2 linked regions of the Tribolium castaneum genome follow. The protein of the gene in region 2 purifies or fractionates together with the protein of the main gene of each other region. This does not show direct contact. Links are inferred from orthologs where the notes say so. Each region holds a gene or a part of one and is shown on either strand. Other genes may lie near its edges.

Region 1 (6,030 bases), on a different chromosome or scaffold from region 2:
AGTAGCAAGTCGAGGTCTAGGTCGGGGAGTGCGGCCTCGAATAGGTCCAGGTCGAAGAGTGCGGGCTCGAATAGGTCCAGGTCGAAGAGTGCGGGGTCGAATAGGTCCAGGTCGAAGAGTGCGGGGTCTAATAGGTCCAGGTCGAAAAGTGCAGAATCGAATAGGTCGCGGAGGTCCAGGTCTAGGTCTAGATCACAGTCGCAGGAGAAGAGACCGGAGTCGGGAGGTCGTAGCAGGTCTAATAGCCCTAATTTGCAAATTGACGAGCCTGGGTCACCTGAGAGTGGCAAAGGGGATAAGAGGAAAAGGGACAGTTCTGAAGAGAGGACTAGCAAAAAGAAGCATCGGATTATTGACTCTGATAGTGAGGGAGAAGAAGGAAAGGAAAATGACAAAGGTAATAACCTCATAGGTTTAGAGTTTTTGTCATGTGTACGAAATAATAATTACTTGATTGCTATAAAAAAATAATTCAAGAAGATATTTCTACATAAATAATGAAAAGGATAGCTGCTAGTTATCAATAATTGGACGTAATATTGAAAGTCGTAGTAGAAAATTCAAGAAAGACGCTCGTGTGCACTTAATAAATTTTACATACATACAAATTTTTAGACATAAATTAGTTTGAAGTTATATTTTACTTTTACGTTCATCTCTTTTTCTCTCAAAACAAAAAGTACTTTTACAATGTGGCGCCTTTACGTACTTTTACATTTTTGCCGCATTATTTTCTTATTTCTCAGTTTTATGCTCCGTTTTACGTTTATACGTCTATGTGTTCTCTCAATCTCTTATTTTTGTTTACGTGTTGTTTCACTTACCTTTTCTACACTTTTTTTCTCAGAAAAATTGTTGCCGTGATCCGGGTTCGAACACCCGACCTCCCCTGCCGTAAGTGGCGCTTATACCACTAGGCCACGAGGCCCCAGATACTGACCGTGTTTTGCAGATATTTTAATACAAACTTTTTAAATAAATCAACATTACAAACTAAATAATTGCAAAAATTCACCTAAAACGCAAATAGTTTCAGTTCAAAAGTCGGGAAATTAGCTCGAGAACGCATTTTTTTTCACTTTTTTCAATTTAATTCTCTAATTTTTCACCAGATTCCATCAAAAGATACCGGGTGTATAAGTAAGTCATCTAAGGATTCAACTAAAGTTTGAAGTTATATTTCACCTTTACGTTCGTCTCTTTTTCTCTCAAAACAAAAAGTACGTTTACAATTTGGTGCCTTTACGTACTTTTACATTTTTGCAGCATTATTTTCTTATTTCTCTCAGTTTTATGCTCCGTTTTACGTTTATACGTCTATGTGTTCTCTCAATCTCTCATTTTTGTCTATGTGTTGTTTCACTTACCTTTTCTACACTTTTTTTCTCAGAAAAATTGTTGCCGTGATCCGGGTTCGAACACCCGACTCCCCCGTCGAAAGTGGCGCTTATACCACTGGGCCACGAGGCCCTAGATACTGACCGTGTTTTGCAGATATTTTAATACAAACTTTTTAAATAAATCAACATTACAAACTATAATTGCAATAATTTACCTAAAACGCAAATACTTTCAGTTCAAAAGTCGGGGATTTAGCTCGAAAAAACATATTTTTCCACTTTTTTCAATTTAATTCTCTAAATTTTTCATCAAATTCCATCAAAAGATACCGAGCGTATAAGTCAACTAAAGTTTGAAGTTATATTTCACCTTTACCTTCGTCTCTTATTCTCTCAAAACAAAAAATACGTTTACAATTTGGCGCCTTTACGTACTTTTACATTTTTGCCACATTATTTTCTTATTTCTCTCAGTTTTATGCTCCGCTTTACGTTTATACGTCTATGTGTTCTCTCAATCTCTCATTTTTGTTTACGTGTTGTTTCACTTACCTTTTCTACACTTTTTTTCTCAGAAAAATTGTTGCCGTGATCCGGGTTCGAACACCCGACCTCCCCCGCCGTAAGTGGCGCTTATACCACTGGGCCACGAGGCCCCAGATACTGACCGTGTTTTGCAGATATTTTAATACAAACTTTTTAAATAAATCAACATTACAAACTATAATTGCAATAATTTACCTAAAACGCAAATAGTTTCAGTTAAAAGTCGGGGAATTAGCTCGAGAAAGCATTTTTTTCCACTTATTTCAATTTAGTTCTCTAATTTTTCATCAAATTCCATCAAAAGATACCGAGCGTATAAGTCAACTAAAGTTTGAAGTTATATTTTACCTTTACGTTCGTCTCTTTTTCTCTCAAAACAAAAAGTACGTTTACAATTTGGCGCCTTTACGTACTTTTACATTTTTGCCGCATTTTCTTATTTCTCTCAGTTTTATGCTCCGCTTTACTTCTATACGTCTATGTGTTCTTTCAATCCCTTATTTTTGTTTACGTGTTGTTTCACTTACCTTTTCTACACTTTTTTTCTCAGAAAAATTGTTGCCGTGATCCGGGTTCGAACACCCGACCTCCCCCGCCGTAAGTGGCGCTTATACCACTGGGCCACGAGGCCCCAGACACTGACCGTGTTTTGCAGATATTTTAACACAAACTTTTTAAGTAAATCAACATTACAAACTATACAGTGTGATCCACGAGTAATAATGAGCCTTAAAAAATTTTTTAAGTAACCAACATTACATTTTATAGATTACGTGGATAGGAAAATATGAAATCATTACGTTCTAATTTTGTACTAATATTAGAAAAATCTCTAAAATTCCTCTTTGTCCGAATACATATTTCTGTCTTAAATAAATGCAATAAAGGTATTAAATTTGACAAAAACTGTGATCACAGAGGTCAGTGCTGCTGCCATTTTTGGAGACGACGCGGATGACATAAGCAGCGAGGAAGAAAAAGAAAAGGCCGAGTCAGAGAAAGAGGCACAAGCCAGTGAAGAAGAGCAGCACCATTCAGAGGAAGAACATGAGCAGAGACAACCAGACGAAGTCAGTTATTTATTTCCCCGAAAAGTCGAGTAATGATTGTATTTCAGGACGAAGATAAGGAAAACGAACCGGAACAAATCCCAGAGACGCGAATCGACGTCGAAATACCCAAAATCAGTTGCGACTTGGGTCGCGACATCCACTTCGTCAAACTCCCCAATTTCCTTTCAGTCGAAACGCGACCTTTTGATCCCGAAACTTACGAAGATGAAATTGACGAAGAGGAAACTCTGGATGAAGAAGGACGCGCTCGCTTGAAGTTGAAGGTCGAGAACACGATACGGTGGCGAGAAGCCGTCGATAAAGAGGGCAATGTCAAGAAAGAGTCAAATGCAAGACTTGTTCGGTGGTCGGATGGTTCCTACAGTTTACACTTAGGTTCTGAAATTTTTGACGTCTACAAACAACCACTCCAGGTTAATAATTCGATTTTTTTGCACTTTTTCATAAAACAATAATTTACAGGGTGACCACAATCACTTGTTTATCAGACAAGGCACCGGTCTCCAAGGCCAGGCTGTGTTTAGGACCAAATTGAGCTTCAGGCCACATTCTACCGAAAGTTTCACACACAGGAAAATGACCTTGTCGCTTGCAGACAGGTCGCAGAAGACTTCCGGGATTAAAATCTTGTCGCAAGTCGGAGCTGATCCCGACCATGACAGGAAACTTCTCTTGAAGGTGATTTTTCGAATTAGCAAATGGAAAAAAATTAAACGCTAAGTACATTAAAAAGTAACAAAACCGTCATGGACAGCATCTAGTAATTTCTCGAAAACTTATTTATCGGAAAACAATAATTTTTTTGACGAAAAATGATTATTGAAAGACCTTTCCAACGATAATAAATTTAATGGGATGACGAGTTATTGTCCGATGAATGTCAAAAACATGTTGAAATGTTCACACACTCATTCTTCAAACGCCGAATACGGCAAGAATATTCGAAAAAGTGTAACTATTTTATTATAAACCTGTGTAGAATGATGTGGGAAATCGATTGGCGTTTAGAAATTCGCCAAATTTTCAATAGTTTTTAAGTTGTTTTTCAATTTTTGCATTTGTTCGCAATTTTTAAGAGAACTATTAATTGGAGAACAATAATCTTTTTTGGAAAAAATAGTTTATTAAAAGGGCTTTCCGACAATAATAAACTTAATACGGTTCCGTCTATTCGTTCCTGAGTTATTGCTTGATGAATGTAAAAACATGTTGAAATATTCACACACTCGCTTTTAAACGTTGATTACGACAAAATTTTAGGAAAAAATTAAACTGTTTTAGTGCAGACTTATGTAAATTGTTCCGGGGAATCGACTAGCGTCGAGAAAAGCGCCAAATTTTTTATAGTTTTTGAGTTATGAATTTTATTTCAATTTTTGCAATTTTTTCGCAAACTATTAATCGGAAAGCAATTATCTTTTTTGAGAAAAATACATTATTAAAAGAGCGTTCCAACGATAATAAACATGATGGGATACGTGTAATAGTTATGGAGTTATTGACCGATGAATATTAAAAACATGTTAAAATATTCACACACTCGTTCTTTCAATGTCGATTGCGGCAACACTATTCGGAAAAGGGGAATTATTTTATTGTAATCCTAGGTAGAATGATCTGGGGATTCCCAAATTCGGTTGGCGTTTAGCAAATCGCTGAATTTTCAATAGTAATTGTTTTTTGCTTTTGCAGTTTTCTCCAAAACTATTAATTGGAGAACAATGACCTTTTTTGAAATAAATAGAATATTAAAAGAGATTTCCAACGATAATTAATTACTATTAATTAGTTAATTATTAATAACGTATTGCTATGAAAAAATAGTAAATGGGTAAAAATAATAATTGTTTATTCATTATTATTATTAAAATAAAATTAATCAATGCAAGAGCGACACTTTTTACTACTCCTTACGCAATACGTCAATGAGTTTGTTCTTTCCATTTATTTAAAAAAAAACTTTAGTCCACGTCTAGCACATCAAATATTTTATTTAGCAAATGAGTGTTAAATACCTGGGTCGGTATAGCGTTCTATAGTAGTATTATTATCCTTTCTTAGCAGATTATTTTTATTTAATTTTTTTTTTGAATTTTGTTGGTAGAAAGAGGAAGAAAAGTTGCGGCAAACTGTACGCGTGAGCAAACCTCGGCGCAAGGGTGACAGTGGGACGCGGTCTCACAACAGCAGTGTGTACAGAGAAGAGGATGGGAGCGATGAAGAGGGGGCTATTTCACTCAATGCCATTAAAAATAAGTACAAGTCGGGGGCTGCCACAGTGGCTAAAGGTAGTTGACGTCTTAGGGAACAACAAAAAGCTCTAATATTTTCTTAGGTGGGGCCATCTATTCGTCAGATGAGGAAGGGTCAGACATTGAGGCTAGGAGAGCGAGGAAAATTGACAAGGCGAAGGCGTTAAAGGACTCAGAATCAAGCGAAGAAAGCGAGTGAATATCAAAAACTGTATTTGTGTTACATAAAGATTGATTACAGTGTAAGTAATACTGAACCTAACAGTTGCGCATATTTAGATTCACGAGATCAAATAAAAATCACAAAATCAAAAAATTACGGCTTGGGCCTGTGCACCTTCATGTGCGTGGCCAGGGTCCCGCTCTGGGCGAACGCCTGTCCGCACACACTGCACACATACGGTCTTTCCCCCGTATGCGTCCTGATGTGCTTCTTGAGCGTCCCTTTGACCGCAAAACTCCTCCCGCATTCGTTGCACGAGAACGGTTTTTCCCCGCTGTGTATCCTCATGTGTATGACCAGACGGCCGCTTTGGTTGAACCGGCGATGGCAGACGTGGCACTCGACCGGTTTTTCCCCGGTGTGTGTGCGAATATGCGCCGACAAGTACCCCGACTGTGGGAAATCCTTGCCGCAAATTTTACACACGTGCGGTCTTTCCCCCGTGTGGATGCGAATGTGGGTCATGAGAGTTCCCGGCGCTGCGAAGCTTTTGTCGCACATTTGGCACTTGTACGGTTTTTCCCCGGTGTGTATGAACGAGTGGATTTTGAGGTAAGACAACTGGCCGAAGCCTTTGCCGCAGACGTTGCACAGGT
Region 2 (7,490 bases):
CGAAAGCGCCCCAAGAAGGAGGAAGAGCGCCAGAAAAGCAGCAAACGTGACGAAGAACGAAGACACAAGGCGGCGAAGAAAGCCAAAGCTGCGGCCCCCGATTTTGAAGAGAAGAAAGACAGTGGTAGACATAAATCAAAGAAGGACGACAGGAAGAGCAAGGATAAGAAGATTAAGGATGAGAAGAGGGAGAAAAGTGATGAGAAGAAGACCAAAAGTTCGAAGAAGTTGAATGGGAATTTGGTTAATGGGATTGATTCGGGATCGGGGGCTAGTTTTGCGGAGGCTTTGGGCATGTGTGAGCCTTCGTCGAGTAAGAATAGTGCGAAGAAGAAAGTGGAGAAGGTGGAGAAAGTGGAGAAGAAGAAGGAAAAGTCAACGGACCAGACGGTAATTTTTATTAAGTTTTTGAAAAAAATGACAAAAACAACACACTTTTTAGAAACGTAAGGAATGTGTACCTATCTAGTTTATGACTAAAAGTTTCGTTATCAGTATCAGAATGAAACAGACGTAATTTTCGTAATCTGATACTTGTTTGAGAATATTTTACTATTTTAATTCGGTGACAAACACTTATAACTGAAACTGAACAGTTTTAAAATTCCTCTTTGTTTTTCCTGGATTAATTATTATTGACAATTTTTAGTAGAATATCTTGCAATATCAAGGTCTGACTACGAAAGACTATAAGTTAGGAGACGAAACGAGATACAAAATCGCTCCCAAAGATGTAGTACGGCGGTGTAAAAATGAGGGCGCCTCGAGCGTCATCCCGTCTCGGTGTCAAATCGTTTTAAATTAATTTAAATTCAACCAGTTTACTAATTACTGGGGAAAAATGCAGAAATGTTGAGCTTTGCATTCTCAACAGACTGGGAAAAAGTGAGGACTGAAATTTATTGAGAAACATGAGAAAAAAATTATTTAAGATTTAAAATTTGCGCTCCGGTCCGTATTTTTCAAAACGCTGCGAATACGGTTAAAGATACAAGAAAAATGTTCAGAAGAAAGTTGTAGAGAATTTAATTTCCTTTAAAAAAGTCAGCGAGACCATATTTTTATCTTCAACGGTTTAGGCCCTAAAAACGTTCAAAGATGCTCAAGCGACTGATTTGCGTCATTTTGCCGGTGGTCAAGTATTGGAAAGTGAATTTATAGCCAAACCGTTGAAGATAGAAATATGGTGTCGCGGACTTTTTTGTAGCAAATTTAATTCTCTACAACGTCGTTCCTTTCAATTTTTTGTAACTTTAACCGTATTCGCAGCGTTTTGATAAATAGGCGACGGTGCCCAAAAATTATCGCTTAGAATTATTGCGTTCTTTTTGCAAACGCAGCGAATACGGTTGAAGATACAAAAAAAGTGTAAGGAACAAAGTTGTAGAGAATTAAATTTCCTACAAAAAAGTCCGCGACACGATATGTCTATCTTCAACGGTTTGGGTATAAATTTATTTTCCAATACTTGACCACCGGCAAAATGATGGAAATCCATCGCTTGAGCGTCTTTGAATGACTTTGGGGCCTAAATGGTTGAAGATAGGGATATGGTCTCGCGGACTTTTTTAAAGGAAATTTAATTCTCTACAACTTTCCTCTGAACATTTTTCTTGTATCTGTAACCGTATTCGCAGCGTTTTGAAAAATATGGGGCAGAGTGCAAATTGGTAAAACTTTGAAATTTTTTTAAATATAGTTTAAGATATAATTTTTGCACTATTTTTATCTCCAATTATTGAAAATTTGGTGCTTTATCTGTCTGTATTTTTTTATTCGCTTTGGGCTAACCGTTATTTAATTAAACTATTTTTATAAATTTATTGCTTAAATACTTAATTTTTTTCTGTGCCTACATGAATTTTTTCAGAATTTTCCTACACTCTTTTATTATTTAAAATTAATTACGTATTTTTTATTTTTTATGTTCTGTTTATACCAAATATTTTGATATTGCAGATCCAGGAATCCATCCGAATTATTTTTGGGTTCTAAAAACTGGGAGGAAGTCTCAATTTATTATTATTATTTATTTATTTTTTGTTATGGGTCAAAAAGAACAGAAGAGTTGTTTTTCATTTTGATTTTGTACGAGTTTTTTTTGCAATATACACATAAAACTAAATGATCGTAGTGATGTTTAGATGAACCTCTTCTTCACAGGTCCCCAAACTCCTTAAAGAACCGACCCTGGACCCCATAGATCTCAACATTTCAAGCCTACTGCCTCCAATCACCCCCAACTACCGCCCCCTCGGCAACTTGCTCCCTTCGGACAGCCACCACAAAAAATTCATGTCCGAATCGGAGGCGCTCACAAGCATTATCACCTCGAAAAACCAAAGGACGAAAGTCTATTCTGGCAATAAAATGGGCTGCGGGAAAGTGGCCTCGCTGTTCGATCTGTGTATTCGAGTCCTTCAGGATAATATCGATGCTCTGGAGTACACTGGGGGAGTTCCTTACAACGTCCTTAAGCCGATTTTGGAAAAAGCCAACCCGAATCAACTTTATTTAATGGAACACCATAACCCGTATCTTATCGAAGACACAGACGAGTTGTGGCAGTTGCATTGTCAGAAGGACTTTAGAAATAAAAAGAGAGAGGAGTTGGAGACGTGGCGCGAAATGTACCTGAGATGTTTGGATGAGAGAGACGCCAAACTTAAAGCATTGACAGCGAATATAAAACAAGCGCAAGATAAGTCGCTTCCGGTCAGGATGACCAAGCTGGCATATGTGGATGCGGTGGCCAAACCCCCTAGAAATATAGGTTGGTGTGACTGCTGTTACCTTGGCTATTTTTAATCCTTGCCAGTAGTTTTTTAGTTATGAATTTTTTAAAATGTGGCCAATTTTTGCTTTTATTTGCAATTTTCTCGAAAACTATTAGTCGGAGAACTGTGATTTTTTTTGAAAAAATAGATGATTTAAAGAGCTTTCTAACGATAATACACTTCATGGGGTTTTCTCTGATAGTTCCGGAGCTATTGCTCGAGAAATGTTCCGGGTACCCAAAATCGACAAAATTTGCGACGAAAATTGAAAAAATCAAACATCAAAAAATCGATCAAATGGACTTTTTGTGGACTTTTAACTACTCTAGAGGGATCTCAATTTCAAAAAAATACGAGTTTTAAAAAAAAAATTTTCACTTTCTTGAAGGTATGTGAAATTTTAGGAAAAAATTCAAAATTTTAAACCTCGTGAAAGTTGGTATAATACAGAAAATGAGCCGCTGAAGTCAATGGAACAAACCGCGTTGCTCTACGACTTCTAGTTTTTGAGTTATGAATTTTTTAATATAACCCGGCGCATCCACCAATTTTAAAATTAAAATATTTTTTAAAAAATTTCTCGGGTAAGCTAGTGTTGTGAAAAGGCTGGTATTTTAAGCAATTTGAGCAGCAGAATTTACTGGAACAAACCGTTTTGTTCTACGACTTTTAGTTTTTGAGTTATGAATTTTTTTGTTCAATAAAATTGTCCACCATAAATAATGGCTACGCTAAATTTAGGCAAAAAAATTTTAATTTTTTATTCTTGTGAAAAATTGATATATTATGTGAAATGTGCCGTAGAATTCAATGGAACAAACTGCATTGCTCTACGACTTTTAGTTTTTTTTTTATGAATTTTTTTAGTTAAAAACTTTGATCGCCTCTGTAGCCGGAACCGTTGCCCGGAGCGGCTCCGGGTTTGAACGAAAAAATTGAGAAAAATAAGCGCTATCAGATGGTTTTTTGCTCGTTGCTTTAAGTCTTACAGTTTCCGAGAGAAACGCAAAAAAAGGTTTCCATTTTCACTTTTTTTCAACTTTCAACCGCCAATTACGGCGAAACTATTAGAGTTATCGAGAAACGGAAAAATAAAGAATAACCGGAATAAAAAACTCTACAAAATGGCATAGAACTAAAGGCGATATCTCGCAAAAAATTTTTCAACTTTCAAACGCCGATTACGGCCAAACTAAAAGAGCTAGGAGAAAACGCTTTTTTCCATCGGAAAGAGCACATCAAAGCCTATAAGATAGAATCGGTTTTATTTGATTTTGAGACACTTTAAAAATTGACCGATTTCTAAGGGGGGGTTTTAACTTTTTTTAATTTTTTTTTAGTTTCTCATTTACAGCTAAACTATTCTAAAAAGTGGAACTATTTTGATTCATACCTATGCAAAATGATCCGGGGAATCGATTGGCATCAAAAAAATTGCCAAATTCCCAATAGTTTTTTAGTTATGAATTTTTTTAAATTTTACCAAATTTTGCATTTGTCTCCAATTTGCTCGAAAAGTATTAGTCGGAGAACAATAATTTTTCTTGAAAAAAATAAAGAATTTGAAGAGCTTTCCAACGATAATACACTTCATGAGGTTATCTCTAATAGTTCCGGAGCTATTGCTCGAGAAATGTTCCGGGTACCCAAAATCGACAAAATTTGCGACGAAAATTGAATAAATCAAACATCAAAAAATCGAACATATGGACTTTTTGTGGACTTTTAACAACTTTTGTGGGTTGTTAAGACATGTAAAAGTCCATAAAAATTTACTGGAGTAAGTTTAAAAAAAAATTTTTTTTCACCTCTTTGAAGGTAAGTGTATTTACTCAGGGAAATTTTAAGCAAAAAAATTAAAAATTTTAAATCTCATGAAAAGTTGGTATAATACGGAAAATGAGCCGCTAAATTCAATGGAACAAACCGCATTGCTCTACGATTTTTAGTTTTTGAGTTATGATTTTTTTTGATCTTTCAGCTCGCAAACAAGCAAAAAATGGGACGGCTTTCGACGTCCGAAAAACCGCTTCAGCAAAACTGAGTTCTCTGGCAACGGCAGGCGAGGCCGGAAAAGTGTCAGTTCCAAACCCCGGAAGTCGAGCCGTTGAAAGACCTTCGGCCCACGCCAAGCCCAAGAAAGCCCCCCTTATGTTAAAAAGCATAAGTTCGTTCAAAAACAGGTTCAAGAGATAACCGAAAGACTGTGTTCGATTCAGATTCGATATATTTTGGCTGTAAGTTTTAGATTATTTTATTGATCAAGTGTTTTAGGTAGTGATTGGTTTTACTTCATCGTGGTTTAAGTTTTTGACAGTTTTTGTCAGGTCATTATGTGATTGTAATTATTTATATTGTATCATCTTTTTCCATTTTACTTCATTGTGTATATTTCATTTCGTCGAGGTTTTATTTTTATTATTATTGGTGGCAAATGTAATTATGTAAATCACGGTTTTAAAATAGTTGAAATATTTTTATAGATAAGGCAGGCATTAAGTAGGTGATTAAATAAAAATCAGGAACGGATTTTGGAGCACAATGTTCTTTTTACAAAGAACAGGCAAATAAACAATTCCAGTAAGAAACGGTTTTTTATTTATAACCCCACTTGAGTTTACAAAAAATAAATAAAATTAAAAACTTTACAACAGGGTAAAACTAAATATTCAAGGATTGCTCTAATTAGTCAAATTAATAACTAATTTGTCCAGCAAGAACCACGTGGAGGTTTAGAGCTTTCTCGCCAGGAAAAAAGGAAATAAGGATGAGGTAAACAATGATTATTGGGAAATATAAAGGAATTATTGGTTTGTGAAAAAAAAAATACGACACAAAAATAATACAATGAACCTAACTTCGCATAGCGAAGTAAAAACAACACCATAAAAAATCTTTCTTTACATGAAAATTACAACTAGCCACTGTTATCAATACTATACAAAGTAAAGAATACACAATACATTATAATATATGGCATTAAAACAATTAAATATTACACTTCATACCGTTTGTAGCATTAAAAAAAAATAAAAACAACACCAATAAAAAATATTTGCATGAAAATTACAACAAGTGACGTATATCAATATTAAACAAAATAAAGAATACACAATACGTTATAATATATGGCATTAAAACAATTAAATATAACACTTCATAAGACAAACACAAAGAATGCACCTACCTTTATTTATCGCTTCCACGTTGGCTACCGTTTGTAGCATTAAATAATAATAATAATAATAATGAGGCCGAAAAAAAAAATGTTTATCCGCATTAAATTTTGAAGCCACTTTCATTCATTGAAATTAAAGACAAAATTACTAAGTGGCAATAAATTATTTGAGTGTTTTATTTTATTTTAAGTTACTGAATTTAAAATGAGTCACTCAAACTATGACTTTTCAACACCGCATTTAGAGTCGGTGTTATTTTATTGCAATTAAATTTTAACGAAATATTGGTTTGTGAAATAAATAAATACGATACGACACAGCAATAAAATACACCTTACCTTCAGATCGCTTCCACGTTGGCTACCGTTTGTAGCATTAAATAATAATAATAATAATAATGAGTCCGAAAAAAAAATGTTTATCCGCATTAAATTTTGAAGCCACTTTCATTCATTGAAATTAAAGACAAAATTACTAAGTGGCAATAAATTATTTGAGTGTTTTATTTTACTTTAAGTTACTGAATTTAAAATGAGTCACTCAAACTATGACTTTTCAACACCGCATTTAGAGTCGGTGTTATTTTATTGCAATTAAATTTTAAGGAAATATTGGTTTGTGAAATAAATACGATACGACACAGCAATAAAATACACCTTACCTTCAGATCGCTTCCACGTTGGCTACCGTTTGTAGCATTAAATAATAATAATAATAATAATGAGGCCGAAAAAAAAACAAAATGTTTATCCGCATTAAATTTTGAAGCCACTTTCATTCATTGAAATTAAAGACAAAATTACTAAGTGGCAATAAATTATTTGAGTGTTTTATTTTATTTTAAGTTACTGAATTTAAAATGAGTCACTCAAACTATGACTTTTCAACACCGCATTTAGAGTCGGTGTTATTTTATTGCAATTAAATTTTGAGGAAATATTGGTTTGTGAATTAAATAAATACGATACGACACAGCAATAAAATACACCTTACCTTCAGATCGCTTCCACGTTGGCTACCGTTTGTAGCATTAAATAATAATAATAATAATAATGAGTCCGAAAAAAAAATGTTTATCCGCATTAAATTTTGAAGCCACTTTCATTCATTGAAATTAAAGACAAAATTACTAAGTGGCAATAAATTATTTGAGTGTTTTATTTTATTTTAAGTTACTGAATTTAAAATGAGTCACTCAAACTATGACTTTTCAACACCGCATTTAGAGTCGGTGTTATTTTATTGCAATTAAATTTTGAGGAAATATTGGTTTGTGAATTAAATAAATACGATACGACACAGCAATAAAATACACCTTACCTTCAGATCGCTTCCACGTTGGCTACCGTTTGTAGCATTAAATAATAATAATAATAATAATGAGTCCGAAAAAAAAATGTTTATCCGCATTAAATTTTGAAGCCACTTTCATTCATTGAAATTAAAGACAAAATTACTAAGTGGCAATAAATTATTTGAGTGTTTTATTTTACTTTAAGTTACTGAATTTAAAATGAGTCACTCAAACTATGAC

The links. Proteins that work in one complex are often made in the same cells at the same time.
Region 1: the proteins of EloA (region 2) and Atu purify together in Homo sapiens (affinity purification with mass spectrometry; 3 studies listed by BioGRID and IntAct, with this or other methods). This does not show direct contact. The link is inferred for Tribolium castaneum from reciprocal best matches to the Homo sapiens genes ELOA and LEO1.

Annotation. Positions count from the first base shown.
Region 1 is NC_087398.1:7,669,422-7,675,451, forward strand, and holds the end of Atu (another transcription unit protein), read left to right. Parts: coding exon 1-397; intron 398-2,804; coding exon 2,805-2,956; intron 2,957-3,003; coding exon 3,004-3,372; intron 3,373-3,421; coding exon 3,422-3,637; intron 3,638-5,063; coding exon 5,064-5,247; intron 5,248-5,294; coding exon 5,295-5,410; 3' UTR 5,411-5,527; downstream 5,528-6,030. Other genes in the region: zinc finger protein OZF, read right to left, coding at 5,528-6,030. UniProt on the Homo sapiens protein: Component of the PAF1 complex (PAF1C) which has multiple functions during transcription by RNA polymerase II and is implicated in regulation of development and maintenance of embryonic stem cell pluripotency.
Region 2 is NC_087400.1:1,640,587-1,648,076, forward strand, and holds the end of EloA (transcription elongation factor B polypeptide 3), read left to right. Parts: coding exon 1-390; intron 391-2,163; coding exon 2,164-2,773; intron 2,774-4,758; coding exon 4,759-4,973; 3' UTR 4,974-5,365; downstream 5,366-7,490. UniProt on the Homo sapiens protein: SIII, also known as elongin, is a general transcription elongation factor that increases the RNA polymerase II transcription elongation past template-encoded arresting sites.